Linked DNA regions of Notamacropus eugenii. The protein of the gene in region 1 purifies or fractionates together with the protein of each later gene. This does not show direct contact. Links are inferred from orthologs where the notes say so. Each region holds a gene or a part of one and is shown on either strand. Other genes may lie near its edges.

Evidence for each region. The genes of interacting proteins can lie anywhere in the genome.
Region 2: the proteins of FIBP (region 1) and C2CD5 purify together in Homo sapiens (affinity purification with mass spectrometry; 3 studies listed by BioGRID and IntAct, counting the BioPlex papers as one, with this or other methods). This does not show direct contact. The link is inferred for Notamacropus eugenii from reciprocal best matches to the Homo sapiens genes FIBP and C2CD5.

What each region holds. Positions count from the first base shown.
Region 1 is NC_092873.1:18,603,749-18,610,866, forward strand, and holds the start of FIBP (acidic fibroblast growth factor intracellular-binding protein), read right to left. Parts: upstream 3,067-7,118; 5' UTR 2,903-3,066; coding exon 2,818-2,902; intron 2,706-2,817; coding exon 2,507-2,705; intron 2,187-2,506; coding exon 2,060-2,186; intron 1,505-2,059; coding exon 1,404-1,504; intron 1,329-1,403; coding exon 1,195-1,328; intron 679-1,194; coding exon 570-678; intron 485-569; coding exon 421-484; intron 83-420; coding exon 1-82. Other genes in the region: CCDC85B (coiled-coil domain-containing protein 85B), read left to right, coding at 6,416-7,118. UniProt on the Homo sapiens protein: May be involved in mitogenic function of FGF1. May mediate with IER2 FGF-signaling in the establishment of laterality in the embryo.
Region 2 is NC_092874.1:183,519,853-183,527,022, reverse strand, and holds the start of C2CD5 (C2 domain-containing protein 5), read right to left. Parts: upstream 3,076-7,170; 5' UTR 708-3,075; coding exon 618-707; intron 1-617. UniProt on the Homo sapiens protein: Required for insulin-stimulated glucose transport and glucose transporter SLC2A4/GLUT4 translocation from intracellular glucose storage vesicle (GSV) to the plasma membrane (PM) in adipocytes.

The sequences.
Region 1 (7,118 bases):
CAACGAGGTCCACAAACAGGTCCCGCACATCCTTGGTGTGGGTTAGCTTGGAGGCGATGTTGACCAGCCCTCGGGACAGGTTCTGTGGGGCCAGGAAGCCAGGAGTCCTGGAGTCTGTCCCTCTCACCCCAGGGACCCCAGAATCCCAGAGCAGGGGGACCCCCCTTCTACAGGCACCACCCTGGGCTCTGACAGGATCAGCAGCAGCATCTGCTGCAGAGTCACTACAAGAAACCAGGGTTCGGGTGGCCGAGCTGAGGATGGCAGATGGAGGATTTGGCAAAAGCTCCAGCCTGGGCCCTGGTCCTGACACTCAGGAAGGCTGCTCCCCTCTCTGGGCCTCTGAAGAGACAGCAGGGTGGGGGCCAGGCCCTTCCAGAGGACTCAGGATCCCTTACGGTCTGCAGGTTGGGGACGGACCTTGAAGCTGGCTTCCATTTCTGGAAAGACGCTAAGTTTCCCTCGGAGAGCAGTGCACACCAAGCTGTGAGGAAGAGAGAAGTAGTCAATCCTGGGCCCTGGGTCCTTCCTCCTGGGCCCTGACTCTTTTCGTCTCCAGCCCCAGCCACCTCTTATGGAGATCAAGAAGGTCCTTGTCAGCCACCAGCACCTTGAGCTCCTTCAGATCCTGGAGAAATTCCTTGTCCAGGTCTACGTCCATGTCATCCACCTGAGAGTCTGCAGAGGGGTCCCCAGGGAGGAGGGAGAGACCCCAGTGAGGCCTGGGCGCTGGCTACAGACTGCCACATCTGGCCAGAGCCTGGAGAGGAAGGGGCCTCAAGCAGAGAAAAGCAGCCTGGCTGGCTGAGAAGCCCTTGCCAGGGAGGATGTCATTTATAAGCTGGGGGACCATAGTACAGTAGACCTGGAGTCAGGAAGGCCTGGGCTCTGCCTCAGACAATGACTGACAGCATGACCTTGGATTTATCCCTTAACTGAGTCTCTCAGAAAATGAGAGGTTAGATATGAAAGTCCCCAGGGACCCCCTCCCCGCCCCAGCACTAAATCAATGATCCTGTGACTCAGTTTTCCCCCAGGGAAGGATAGATATGCTTGGCTGTACCTGCTCTGAGTCTTACAGTAAGTACTTTCTGCATTAATCTGCCAGACAGAAGTTAGCACTCATTTGAGCCTTGGGAGATTAGGTGGGACTAAAAGCCAGGAACCCATTGTTGGGGGCGGGGAGCTGCTCACCCACAGCACCGGGTGTCCAGTTCTGAATCATCAGTTCAGCACAGAAGGCTAAGTCCCCAAAAGTCAAATACTGAAGCTTTTTCTTGCCCGTCTCAAAGCGGTTGTTAGCGAAGAAAACCACAGCAGCGTAGTCCCTAGAGGGAGCCCGGGCTCTTAGCCAATCTCCAGACCCCTGGGGCCAAGCCCTCTCAATCCCCCACACCCCTCACCTGGCCAGCCGGTCAGAGAGGAGGAAATGCTGCTGGATGTTGCCAGCCAGGGAGCCCCGCATTTCCTCCACCACCTTGAACACTCGCTTGAAGTTGTCAAACTGTGGGGTAGAAAGTGGCAGGGAGGCTGAGGTAGGAGGACTAGGGTCACTGTCCCAAGAGAAAATACATTATCAGCAGCGCCTAAGGCAGGCCAGCCCATGGAACCTGGAAGCTCAGCTTCATAACCCACTTCAAGTTTCATCTTCTGGTGCCAAGTTCACAATGATCAGTCAGTTTTCTTCTGTCTTTTTTTTTTTAAATCAAATTAACCAATGGTTTATCTGTTTTACTGACTTTTTCATAAAACCATCTACTAGGTTTTTAAAAATCAATTCAATGGTTTTCTTCTTTTGAATTTTATTCATCTCTCCTTCGGTTTTCAGGACATCCAGTCTGGTGTTTAATTGGGAATTTTCTTTGTCTTTTCCTAGTTTTTTCTTTACCCAACTTGGTGATCTGCTCGACTCCCTAAGTGCACTGTTTTGGGATAGCTTTGAGGAGAGAGGGGGTCACAGGGCTGTCTTCAAGGATGGGAGGGATGCACAGGAGAGAAAAGGGAAATCCATGCCCAATGGCCACCCAGACACCGGGCCTGAGAGGGGGTGGGCCCTGACCTGTCTCCGGCAGCTCTTCAGGGTCACCCCTGTCTTGGCACTGATGTCATCCAAGTCCTTCTTGGTGCCCTTGGACAGCTTCTTTCCCAGCACCTCCCGGACAAAGGCCTCATCAAAGGTGTAGTACCTGGGGGAGGGAAGGGGGGCACAGGATGGAGAAGGGGAGAAACCAAAGGGGAAGAGGAAGGGGCTTCTGACCACAGGACCAAGAAGCTGACCATGGGCAAAGCTAATTGTAGGGGGGTAGGCCGTGACTTTATGGGGAGACCGGGTCTGGCAGGGGGCAGAGCCTTGGCTGCTGCGGGGCAGCAGGGGGAGGGGCCTGGGGCAGGGGAGGGCGGGACCCAGGGGCAGCAGGGGGCGGGGCCTCGAGCCAGGGGAGGGCGGGACCCAGGGGCAGCAGGGGGCGGAGCCCCGCAGCCGGGGGCGGGGCCTCGGGGCCCCCACCTCTCGATGAGCAGGGCCTGCCTGGACGGCGGGATCTGGAAGACAAGCTGGTGCAGCAGCTTGGGCGGCGTGTGCAGGAGGCGCTCGAGCATGTGGAACGTGCGGTAGTGGTCCATGGTGTCGCTCTGTAGCACGCCCGCCGTGGCCCCCGTCTGCTCCAAGATGCCCGAACGCACCCGCAGCCCCACGGCATCGCTCACTGGGGACGAGAGGCGGCCATGGAGGCAGGCAGGGGGAGGGGGAGGGGCGCGCCCCGCCCCCACTCCCGCCCCCGCCCAGCCTCGCGTCCCCGCTCGCGCCCCCGCCCGCACCCGAGTATCCGTCCAGCCAGAGTCGATACACGTCCTCGTCGATGAGGGTCGTGTTCCCCACGAAGATGTCCAGCTCGTTGGTCATGGCGGAGCCGGGCGCCCGGACACCCACCGGACCACACTGAACTCAATCCGGCCCGACCCCGGAGCAGCCACCGCTTCCGGGTGCAGCCAGGCCTCGGCTCCCGCACTCGCAGCGAACCACGGACCACTTCCGGTGCGGAGGGGCGGTGGCTGCGGGTCCTGGGGAGGGGCCGGGGCCAGGCCACGCCCCTAGCTGGGCGGTGGCCCCTCCCTATTTCCTCTTCGGCCCCGCCCAATCCTCAGAGCCACCCGCAGCCCTGCGGCTCAGAAGCAAGGGGAAATCCCGGCGCTGGAGACTTCCCCGCCCTCTCCGCAGCTATTCCTTCCCCACCTCCGACCCACAGCTCCATATTTCATACTCCTCTCCTCCTCCCCTTTACTAATTTCCCCTCCCTCAGCTCCCCCACCTCCTCCTCCTTTCCTGTCCCCCCCATCCACAGCTCCTAATTCCATCCCCCTCTCCCTTTTTCCCTTCACAGCTTTCCGATCTCCCATCTCACAGCTCCCCATTCCTTGTCTCCATGCTCTTTCCCAACTTCCCCTCCTCTAGCTCCTTCTCCTTTCCCACCTGCCATCCCACAGATCCCCTATTCTGTATACCTCTTCTCTTTACCAATCTCCCCTTCCTCCTTCCACAGCTCCTCATCCCTACATCCCATAGCTCTTCCTTCCATTTCTCCATCCCCTTTGTCAATCTCCCCTTTCCTCTTCCACGACTTTCTCATCCCCCATCCTCCAGCTCCTCATGCCATATCCTTCTCCCTTTACCAATCCCTCCTCCCCCTTTCCAAAGCTCATCCTCCTTCCCCATCCCCCACCGCCAGTTCTCATTCCATATTCCTTCCCCTTTATCAGTCTCCCCCATCCCGCCCCTTTCCCTATCTCCCCATCCCTTCGCCTTCCCACAACATCACCTTTATTAAATCAGTAAGTCAATTAAAAAAAATTTATTAAGAAAAATGCATCAAGCACCTACTGCCCGTCGGGCATTTCAGATACAAAGACAAACAGTGGAAACAGCTCTTACCCTAGGAGAGTTTCTTTTCCTGGGAAAAGTAGATAACAATCTAGCCCTTGTTATTGCTAGAGAATGGGGGAAGGAAGGAGGACCAGCCAGGGAGAAGAGCCTAGGTGAGAGGTGATGGGCCTGTGGCGATTGAAAGGGATGGAGGTGAGGAGGAAGGGCATTCCAGACTCAGGGCCTCTGGAAAGGCACAGTTTCTCCTCACTCCTCTCCCAGCTCCACCTCCCCCATCCTCCTCTTCTCTCCCCACCTTTCTTTCCTCTCTCTACCTCCTCTTCATCAGTCTTCAGCCCCCCACCCTAATCTCTTCTTCATCCCTTTTCTTCTCACTATCCTCCATTGGGGTCCCCTCTCCCCTGGCCATAGCATTTATCCCTAAGCCCTACCGTCTTCCATCTGTCCCTCTGCCCATCTTCATCCCTCCTTTCCCCCTCCCTCCAGTTGGCCTCATCACTCTCCCCACTTCTCAATCCTCCTTCCTCTCTCTGCTCCAGTCTGGTGAGGAATCTTACAGCAATCCTGGGCACCTCAGTCTCTCCAGTCCACTCCAGGCTTAACAGTTCCTAGCTTGGAGCTTCGGGACTAGGTTGCCCATTCAGGGCCAGTGGCTAGAGCGAAAGGACCAGCCACTAAGAGAGGAAAAGTGAGACCTGAAGAAGAAAGGGAGATGTAGGGGCCTGGGATGCTTGTGTTCTACTGGAGGGTCCCCGCAGGGTGAAAGTGATGATAGGGTGGGACTCTAAACAGGTGGGTTCAGGGTTCAGACAAGCCATGGGGCAGGCAGACCCTGTAAGGACAGCGCTTGGGGGAAGGCCCAGGGACTCCTAGGTCTAGAGGTCAGGAAGATATAGGACTGTGTTTTAGAGAAGGTCCAAGGTCAGGGGAGATGAGGACAGCACCCCAGGCTTTGAGAGCACAGGAACACCTGGATGCCAAGGCAGACCACTGAGGACCTGGAGGGCAGGCTCCGAGTGCTCAGAACTCTAGAGAAAGAAAGCTAGATTAGAAGCCCCAGGAGAATTGGCTCAGGCAGAGGTGGGATAACAATGCCCAGGGATAGGTACTGGGACGTCTGGGTTCTAGGGAAGAGAAGATGGGAGCCCTTTGAGGACACGAGCTCAGACTTCTGGGTCCAGGGTTCAGGTAAAGGTTAAGACAGTAACCTGGGGCAGCCTCTGGGAGTCCTTTGAGGGCAGTGAGCTGGGACACCTAAGTCCTGGATTCTGTCAGAGAAGAGAAGATAATCCTCTCCTCATCCCCGCAGGCACACGGGACAGCCAGGGTTCTGGGGAAGCTCAGACAGGAGTCCTTTGAGGATAAGACCCTGAGACTACTTGATCCCAGGTTCAGGCAGAGATAAGAGGCTAGCCCCTCAGGGCAGGCACCGGGACGCCTGGGTTCAGGGGAAGATCAGATGGGAGCCCTTTCAGGACAGGAGTTCAGACCTCTGGGTTCAGGGTTCAGGAGGAGATGAAGTTAGCCCCCCAGGGCAGGTACCAGGACTCTTGGGTTCTGGAGAAGATCAGATGGGAGCCCTTTGATGACACGAGCTCAGGCTTCCAAGTCCAGGGTTCAGGTGGAGGTTAGGACAGTACTCTAGGGCAGGCTCTGAGAGTCCTTTTGAGGACAGGGAGCCAGGACACCTGAGTTCTGGATTCTGTCAGAGATGGGAAGATGATCCTCTCCCCATCCCCCCAGGCACTGGGACGCCAGGGTTCTGGGGAAGCTCGGACGGGAGTCCTTTGAGGATAAGACCTTGAAACTACTTGATCCCAGATTCAGACAGAGATAGAAGGCTTGTCCCTCAGGGCAGGCACCGGGACGCCTGGGTTCAGGGGAAGATCAGATGGGAGCCCTTTGAGGACTTGAGGACGGGAGTTCAGACCTCTGGGTCCAGGATTCAGGCCGAGATAGGAGGCTAGCCCCCCAAGGCTAACACCAGGACCCCTGGGTTCTGGGGAAGAGGAGATGGGAGTCCTTGGAGGACCGGGAGCTGGGACACCTGAGTCCCGGATTCTATCAGAGATGGGAGGAGAGTTCCTTCCCTACCGCCGCAGCCATGGGAATGCCACGGTTCTGTAGAAACTCAGGTGGGGACCCTGTGAGGACTGGGAAGTCAGTCGTCCGGGTCCAAGGTTGTGAAGCGGAGCAGAAAGGACCCTTCTCCCAGCCGGGGTCCCCCTCCCTTCCCCTCCGGGGCCGGCGCCAGGCCTGAGCATCCCTGGGCGGGGCCCCCCTCCCCGGGCTGCACCGCGGTCCGGCCCCATTGGCCGCGTCCCCGTGACGTCGGGGGGCCCCGCCCCGGGCCGCCCGCTCGCCCCCGGGCCCCCATTCTCGCCGCTGCTGCCGCCGCCGCCGCCGCTCCCTCGGCCTCGGGGCCGCTTCTGCCTCGGCCTGGGCCCGGGCCGCCTCCGCGCCCCTGCCCCGCTCGGCCGGCCCGGGGGGCAGCGGGCCGGGGGGGATGCGCCAGCGGGCGCCCGGCCGGGGGCCATGGAGGGCGGCGAGGCGGCGGGCGGCCCGGGGCGGCCGCTGAGCGACGCGGAGCTGGCGGCGCTGCCCAAGGAGGAGCTGGTGCGGCGGCTGCGGCAGGAGGAGGCGGAGAAGCTGGCGGCGCTGGTGCAGCGCGGCCGCCTCATGCAGGAGGTCAACCGGCAGCTGCAGGGCCACCTGGGCGAGATCCGCGAGCTCAAGCAGGTCAACCGGCGGCTGCAGGACGAGAACCGCGAGCTGCGCGACCTCTGCTGCTTCCTAGACCACGAGCGCCAGAAGGGCCGCCGCGTGGCCCGCGAGTGGCAGCTTTTCGGGGCGCACGCGTCCCGGGCCGTGCGCGACGAGCTGGCCGGCTGCTGGCAGAAGCTGGCGCAGCTCGAGGGCCGCCAGGACGAGCTGCTGCGCGAGAACCTGGCGCTCAAGGAGCTCTGCCTGGCGCTCGAGGAGGAGTGGGGCCCGCGGCCGGGCGCTGGGCCCGGGCCCGGGGCCGCCTCTGCCGCAGCGGCCGCGGCAGCAGCGGGAGCAGCAGCAGCAGCTGAGGCCGGGGCCGAGCCCGCGGGAGGCGCAGGAGGCCCCGGCCCCGACGGGCCGGGCGGCCCGGGGCCGGAGCTGGGGCTGCCCCCGTGCGGGGCCCGGGACGTGGGAGACGGCAGCTCGAGCACGGGCAGCGTGGGCAGCCCGGACCAGCTGCACCTGACCTGCT
Region 2 (7,170 bases), on another chromosome or scaffold:
AATAGCCGAACTTGTGGATGTTATTTTCCATTTTTACTTGGTTTTTATCACACTCAGAATTAATTCCTTCAGGACCCTAGGCCTACATTAATTTGCGTAACTTTTACAGTAATTAGTAGTTTGGGGGGGAAATTGTGCAATTTTAAATGGATGGTAGCATTTAATTGGTTTCCTACCTTAAGGGAATAAATTCGCCCCCTAGAGATCTGCTCAAAAGATCTACCGTCATAAACAAGAGCAGAAAGCATTAGCTACGCTGGAAATGCCCATGCATCTGCATTCCGGAGAACTGTCACCACAAAGAAAATAATCCATTTCAACCCTTCTGGTTCTCTCGATTCAGCCCAGCTTCTCACTGCGAACAGCAGCAGTGACCACGAGGGGCTACAACCTTGACGTGCCCCTTCCCAGCGGGTGCCCAGCCCGGCCTCAGCCTGCGGAGCGGCCAGGTGGACCCGTGCAGTGCCCTTGTGCCAGGGTCACGCACACGGCGCGCGCGGGGGGCCGCTGCAATCCGTGGGCGATCCCACGGGCGTGGGCCGCCGCAGGCAGGCATCCCCGAAGGGGGGCGAAGGAGGGTGGGAGCCGGGGCACAGGTGGCAGGACAGGGCACCCACCTCAACGAAGGCATCAGTCAGATCGCTCGCTCGGTCCATTACGGGCAAATGGCGCCCGGCCACGATCTTCACCTTCAGCTTTCCGGGCATCGCCGCCGGCTCCGCAGCTCTCCGTTAGGGACCCCGCAGAGACAAACAAGCGCCTGTGCGCCGAGCCCAAGCCAGCGGGCGGGGGAGCGTGCGGGGGCGGAGCCACGAGGGGCTCGCGTGCGTGCGCGCGCCCGTAACTGACCGAGGAGGAAGGGTGCGCGCGCGTTCTCCGCCCGCCGCCCTCCTCGCTCCGTGCCAATGCGGGTCGCTTTTTTCAAGTCCCGTTCCTAGGCGGGCAGGAGGGCGCGGCTCCCTCGTCCTCCTCCCGGAGGGGCCGTAAGGCAGGCTCAAACTGGTTCTTCCGCCAGTGTATCGAACCCGTTTGTAAAGGAAACCAGAATCTAGCCCTTGAAGCGAACCTTTCCCGGTCCCTACATTCGTGCCTTCCCGCCCCGGCGAATGGCAGCGCCTCGCGCCAGGTGGGGCAATTAAAAGATGAGGGGATCGATAAGTCGGTTATCCTCCCAAGCCTTGAAGAGAATCCACCCCAGGGAAGAGGGAAGGGCGGGACCTAGGAGAGGTAGATTGGCAGGGGACTCGGACGAGTGCCGAATCATCGAGCTGCGGGTGGAGGAGCGGCCGAAAGGCTGCACACCTCGTCACTGTTTCCGAGAGAAGTTGTGAAGAGTTCTTGTGAAGACATTTTCCAGATTAGACCGAACTGGGTCAAAGTAAACAATTTGTGGTGCCACCCGAAGCCGCTAACCCCCATTGGCTACTGTGGCAGTCATGTTAATCCAGGTCTCCGCCCGTCCGCCATCGTCCGCTTGTAGGCGCCTGCTGTGTGCCGGGCTCTGGAGAGGCCAGAAACAGCCCGTTCTCTGAAGTGGTCTGATGGGGGGACGACCTGCGAACCATAGTGTGTAAAGAGACACAGCAGCGGAGGGCAAGCTTGGGGAAGGGGAGGCTGGCGGGGACTTGGAGGAAGGCAGAAGGCGCAGCCGGAACCTGCCTTCGGTAACCCTGCTGTGTGTATGCGTGTATCTATACATACATATGTATAAAACCCTTCTATATGTATGTATATATGTATATATGATCCTAGTATAAGCCAGACTGTACTGTCGGCTGTGCCAAGCACTGCTACAAATGACTTCTTTAATTCTTATGAAACTCCTATTTTACAATTAAGGAAACTGAGGCTGACAACAATTAAGGGACTTGCCCAAAGTAACACAGTAAGTATCTGTGGTTAAACTTGGACTCGGGCTTTCCTGATTCCAATCCCAGCCAGAAACGGAGAGAGGATGTCTTCTTGGAGGGACAGGTAACAAGCCAGTGCCTTTGGCTCTGAGGTGGGTCAGGTTTCTTCCTGGAGGTGACAGGACAGTCAGACTTACACTTCAGAAGTAAGCTGAGTGGAGAACAGGAGTAGGGCAGGGAAGGATTCGGTGGCAGGGAGATCCACCAGCAAGCTACTGCATAATCTAGGTGTGAGATGGTGAGAGTGGTGGGGGCAGTGTCGGAGAGAAAGGAGCGCAGGTAAGAAATGTTAGGAAGGTAGAATTCACAGGCTTGGCCACCTGAAGCATTTCAATGGATTTGTGGTCCCAATGGTTGGTCAATCCTTACATCTATGCAGATCCCAAACCCTCCACAGCTCACCATCTGGATGATTCTGTTCCATGCTTTCCCATAACTCCTCCCTCAAAGGTCTACCAAATTTAGCATATCTAATGTATCTGTGCGTCCTTGTTCAGTACTGTGACTGTCCCTCCCTTTTCCCTTGTTCCACCAGTTAGATCGTACCTTTCAGTAATCACATATTGTTCGTGAAACTTTGTTGTACCTAAGGCATCCACGGTGATAACACTGCACCTTAGACTCATCATACCCTTCTCCATTATCCTTCTGGTCACCTGCAATTATCAGGTTTCAAAAAATTGTGGCATTTGGCGATTCCCTCTGTGGGGGAAATGTGGAACCACAGCTGTTTCACATCTTGATGGACTAATAATAATGTAGAAACACCTCCAAATACCTAGTGGTCTAAAGGTGGAAAGTAAACCAGAAATATAACAAACTATGTAGATAGTCTCTGCTACTGTTGTAATAACTATTTGTTATCCTTGGATAAAAGACACCCACAGTCTTGTCTAAATAGTCATTCCAACCCCGCAGTTGTCTAAAAGAACATCTTTCACAATTGTAAGAGTCTTTTCTTTTCCCCTTGCACAGAGAATATCTTCTCATTCCAGTAATAAACCCTGCCAACTACATGGTAAAAGTTTCCCTTTTCTGCCTTGAATGATTCTTCCTTTCTTAACTTTCCTCTCCTATGAAAGGTATTACTTATCTATCCTAAGTTTCCGAAAAATATTGCCAATTGTCTGTGTACTCTAAATGAACCAGTTATAAAAAAAAAAAAAAAAAACTAAGTCTCCCAGATCTGCTGCTATCAACAATTTCCTTAGTCTGCTTATCACTGGAATCCCCGTGATAGGTACACCTTTCCAAAGATGTCTTATTTTTTATGTCTAGAGAATTCTCCCAACAAATCATTGGAGGAAAACCATATAAAGATGGGACTTTAGGAAGACAGCTTGAGATAAAAATGAAAGACTCTGGGTGCTTTGCCAAAAGCAATCCAGTTTGCCTTCTTCCTTATATTCAGTTCTACAGGTAAATTGTATGTAAGAATGCCTGTTCAGCATAATATGGACGTTTTCCTCTGTTTGATTTTTCACATAAGAATTGTTCAATCTCTTAAATGGTTGTTTCACAGGTAGACATACAGGTAACACCAACTATACCAATTGTAGCACAGGTTCACTCTTGATCTGGGCAGACAGGAAAATAGGAGTGGAGTCATAGAAAAGGAGTAGATAAGTTTACTTTAGTCTTCTCACAAAGGAGTTGCTGATAATGGGAGCACCAACTCAGCTTCCCTACAACTCTTCTAGCAGGGGCAGGTGAGAATATAGTAGAAACCACAACTCCTCCAGGTCCCCTAAGCCTCAATGAAGGCCGGTTGAGGCAAACACAGATTCCTCCCAAGCGTTGAGGGCCATTCAAGGCAGGTATATGCATTCCTCTATGCCATTACCCAAATCCCCAAATCCACACTTACTGACTGGTGCCCGCTTGATTTATAGGGCAACAGACAAAGAAGGCATCTTGCCAACATTAAGCTCACAGGTTAACTTCAGCAATATTGTCATTCAGCACAAGCATAGTAAATATCACATTATAACATCCCCATATCTCACTACAGAAGCATGGTGGAGATGTTTACAAGTCATGAGTCTGGGGAAAATCTAACACCTAGGAACTAGAGGTTTTTAGGCATGGATCCTGGAACTAAACTCTAAGAAAGATTAATAAAAATCCACCTTACATACAATGATCATCTATCCCCTTGAGAAGAGAGCTTATCACATTCCAAGGAATGTGGCACAAAGTTAACATCAAATGCCACCTTGTCAATTATAAACAATAGGAACTAGAATTATTAATCATATTGATATAAAACATTCAAAAATATTGGTGTAATAGAAAAATATTTGCAAATTGTACAAACAAAAGATTAACAGTGTCAACCCAAATAGAGTGCCATAATAAAGTCTGGTATTTGTATACATGCTTATTACCTTGAGTCTCATTAACTGATTGTAATATAGGAAGAAAGTTCCTTAAGATAATTTTTATTAAGTTAATCCAGACTTCAATTCAAATTGGTATGTACTTTAACACTGTACCTAACTGGTTCATTTGTGAAATCAAGTTCTGCACCCTATGCTTACCACTGTTCTTTGCTTCTTTCTGGTTCTATTCTCTTTGTTATGTTCAAACATATTTTTCTTTTTAGTTATGTGTGTATGTGGATTTTTTTGTCACATCTTGAGTTTCAAATTGTCTGCCTCTCAAATTTGCATTAGAGAAGACCAACATTTGATATAGATATATGTGAAATCATACAGTACAAGCATACTTTGTTTTATTGTGCTTCACAGACACTGCAATTTTTTTCCCCCAAATTGAAGATTTGTGGCAAATCTGCCACAAGCAAATGTATCAGCACCATTTTTCTAATAGCATGTGCTGACATCATATCTGTTACACTTTGATGATTGCTACAATATTTAAAATTTTTTTATTATTATTCTATCTGCTATGATCTTTGATCAGTGATCTTTTATGTTACTATTTTAACTGCTTTGGGGTGCCACAAGCCATGGCCATACAAGACAGAAAACTTAAATCAATAAATGTTGTGTTCTGACTACTCCATCTCTCCTTCTCCTCAAGCCTAATCCCTGAGACACAACAATATTGAAGAATATTACATAAACTTAGTTGATAAAGCAGCAAGAGGGTTTGAGAGGACTGACTCCAATTTTGAAAAAAGTTCTGTGGGTAAAATGCTATTAAGTAGCATTGTATGCTATGGAGAAATCTTTCATGAAAGGAAGAATCAAAATGTACAAATGTGGTTACGATTGCACAGGTATAACCTATATCAGATTGTTGTTATCTTGGAGAGGGAGGATGGAAGAAAGGGAGGGAGAAAAAAATTTGGAACTCAGAATTTTATTTTAAAAATGAATGTTGAAAACTATCTTTACATGGAATTGGAAAAAATGAAATACCATTTCCAAAAAAAAGAGTCAGTTGAGACAAACTTCATTGTTGTCTTTTAAGAAATTAAGAAATTGCCACAGCCACCCCAACCCTCAGCAATTACCACCTTGATCAGTTAGCAGCCATAGACATCTGGACACACATCCTCCACCACCAAAAAGACTGGGATTTGCTAAGGCTCAGGTGATGGTTAGCATTCTTTAGCAATAAAGTATTTTTAAAGTATGTACATTTTTAGACATTATTGAACACTTAATAGTCTACAGTATACTGTAAACATAACTTTTACATGCACTGGGAAACAAAAAATTCGTGACTCACTATTGTGATAATCATTTTATTATGATATATCTTTTATTCTACTATGATATGATATAGACTTGACAGAAATAGCATGTTATTAAATATTACACAAAAATTAAATATAAAACCCAAGCCTTCAGGGGAATGGTCAGTATTTCTTGAAACCAAACCCACAGTATCTCCACTGTATGTCTGTACATATTTCCATATATTAGTTCTTTCTCTGGAGCATTTTAAGTCATTGATTTAAATGATTATATTATTCAAAACAGCTTAGTTATTAACTCTTTGAACATTATTGTTGTTACTGATAGTGTTCTCTCAGTTCTGCTCATTTAACTGCATTATTTCATCCAAGTCTTTCTATATTTTTCTAAAACCAACCAGCTCATCATTTTTTATAGCATAGTAGTATTTTATCACAATCATATACCATAACTTATTCAGTTATTCCCCAATTGATGGTCAACCCCTCACTTTCCAGTTCTTTGCCACCACAAAGAGAACTGCTGTAAATATTTTGGAACACATAGGTTCTTTTCCTTTTTCCCTGATCACCTTGGGAAACAAGCCTAATAGTTGTGTTGCTATGTTAAAGGGTATACACAATTTTACAACTTTGTACATAATTCTAAATTGCTCTCTAAAATAATTAGATCAGTTTACAACTCCACCAACAGGGTATTAGTGTCCCAATTTTTCCATATGCTCTCCAACATTTGTTATTTTCCCCTTCTATCATTTTAACCAGTCTGATAGGTGTGAGATAGTACCTCCAGTTGTTTTAATTTGCAGTTCTCTAATCAATAATGATTTAGAGCATTTTTCATGTGACCATATATATCTTTGATTTCTTTTTCCACAAATTACCTGTTTATATCCTTTGACCATTTATCAACTGGGAAATCAAACATACATTTTTCTAAACCTTAGGTGCAATCTTTTGACTGGGTCCAAGCTTTACAAAACAAATTCTTTTATTAAGGGGGATTTGTCCTGTGAAGTTTGGATTCTGTCAAAGGGTCACATGTGAACTCAAGGCCACAGGTTCCCCATCCCTGGTTTAGAGTGATCCAGTGGTCTAGATGGAGATGGATTCCCCTGTCTAGATTGTTGGAGGTGGCTGGGTCTTTGGTTACAGAGAGAAACCACAAAACATCAATTTATTGATTGCTGGCTAGTCTAATTAATACATTGATTATTAATTATCCAGAAATTCTGCCTCTTGGGGTTTTTCATTCACATTTTACATATATTTCATCTTTACTTTTAAATGTATATCCTGACACCTTGCCTGATGCTTAATAAATATTTCTTGGTTAATTGATTAAAAGAAATTAAAATTACATTTTAAAACAACAAATTATACCAAACCATGATTTTGTCAAGAACTATTTCATATTTTAAAAGCACAATTTAATTAAAATTAACTAAACTTATTTAACGTTAAATCACAAAACAAACCCCATACACAAAAATGTTATTTAACAAAACTGTATTTTGTGTTTATTTTTTAAAGTTTTTTAAAATGTCTTTTACTCTACTATGGTATGATGTAGACTTGACAGAAATAGCATGT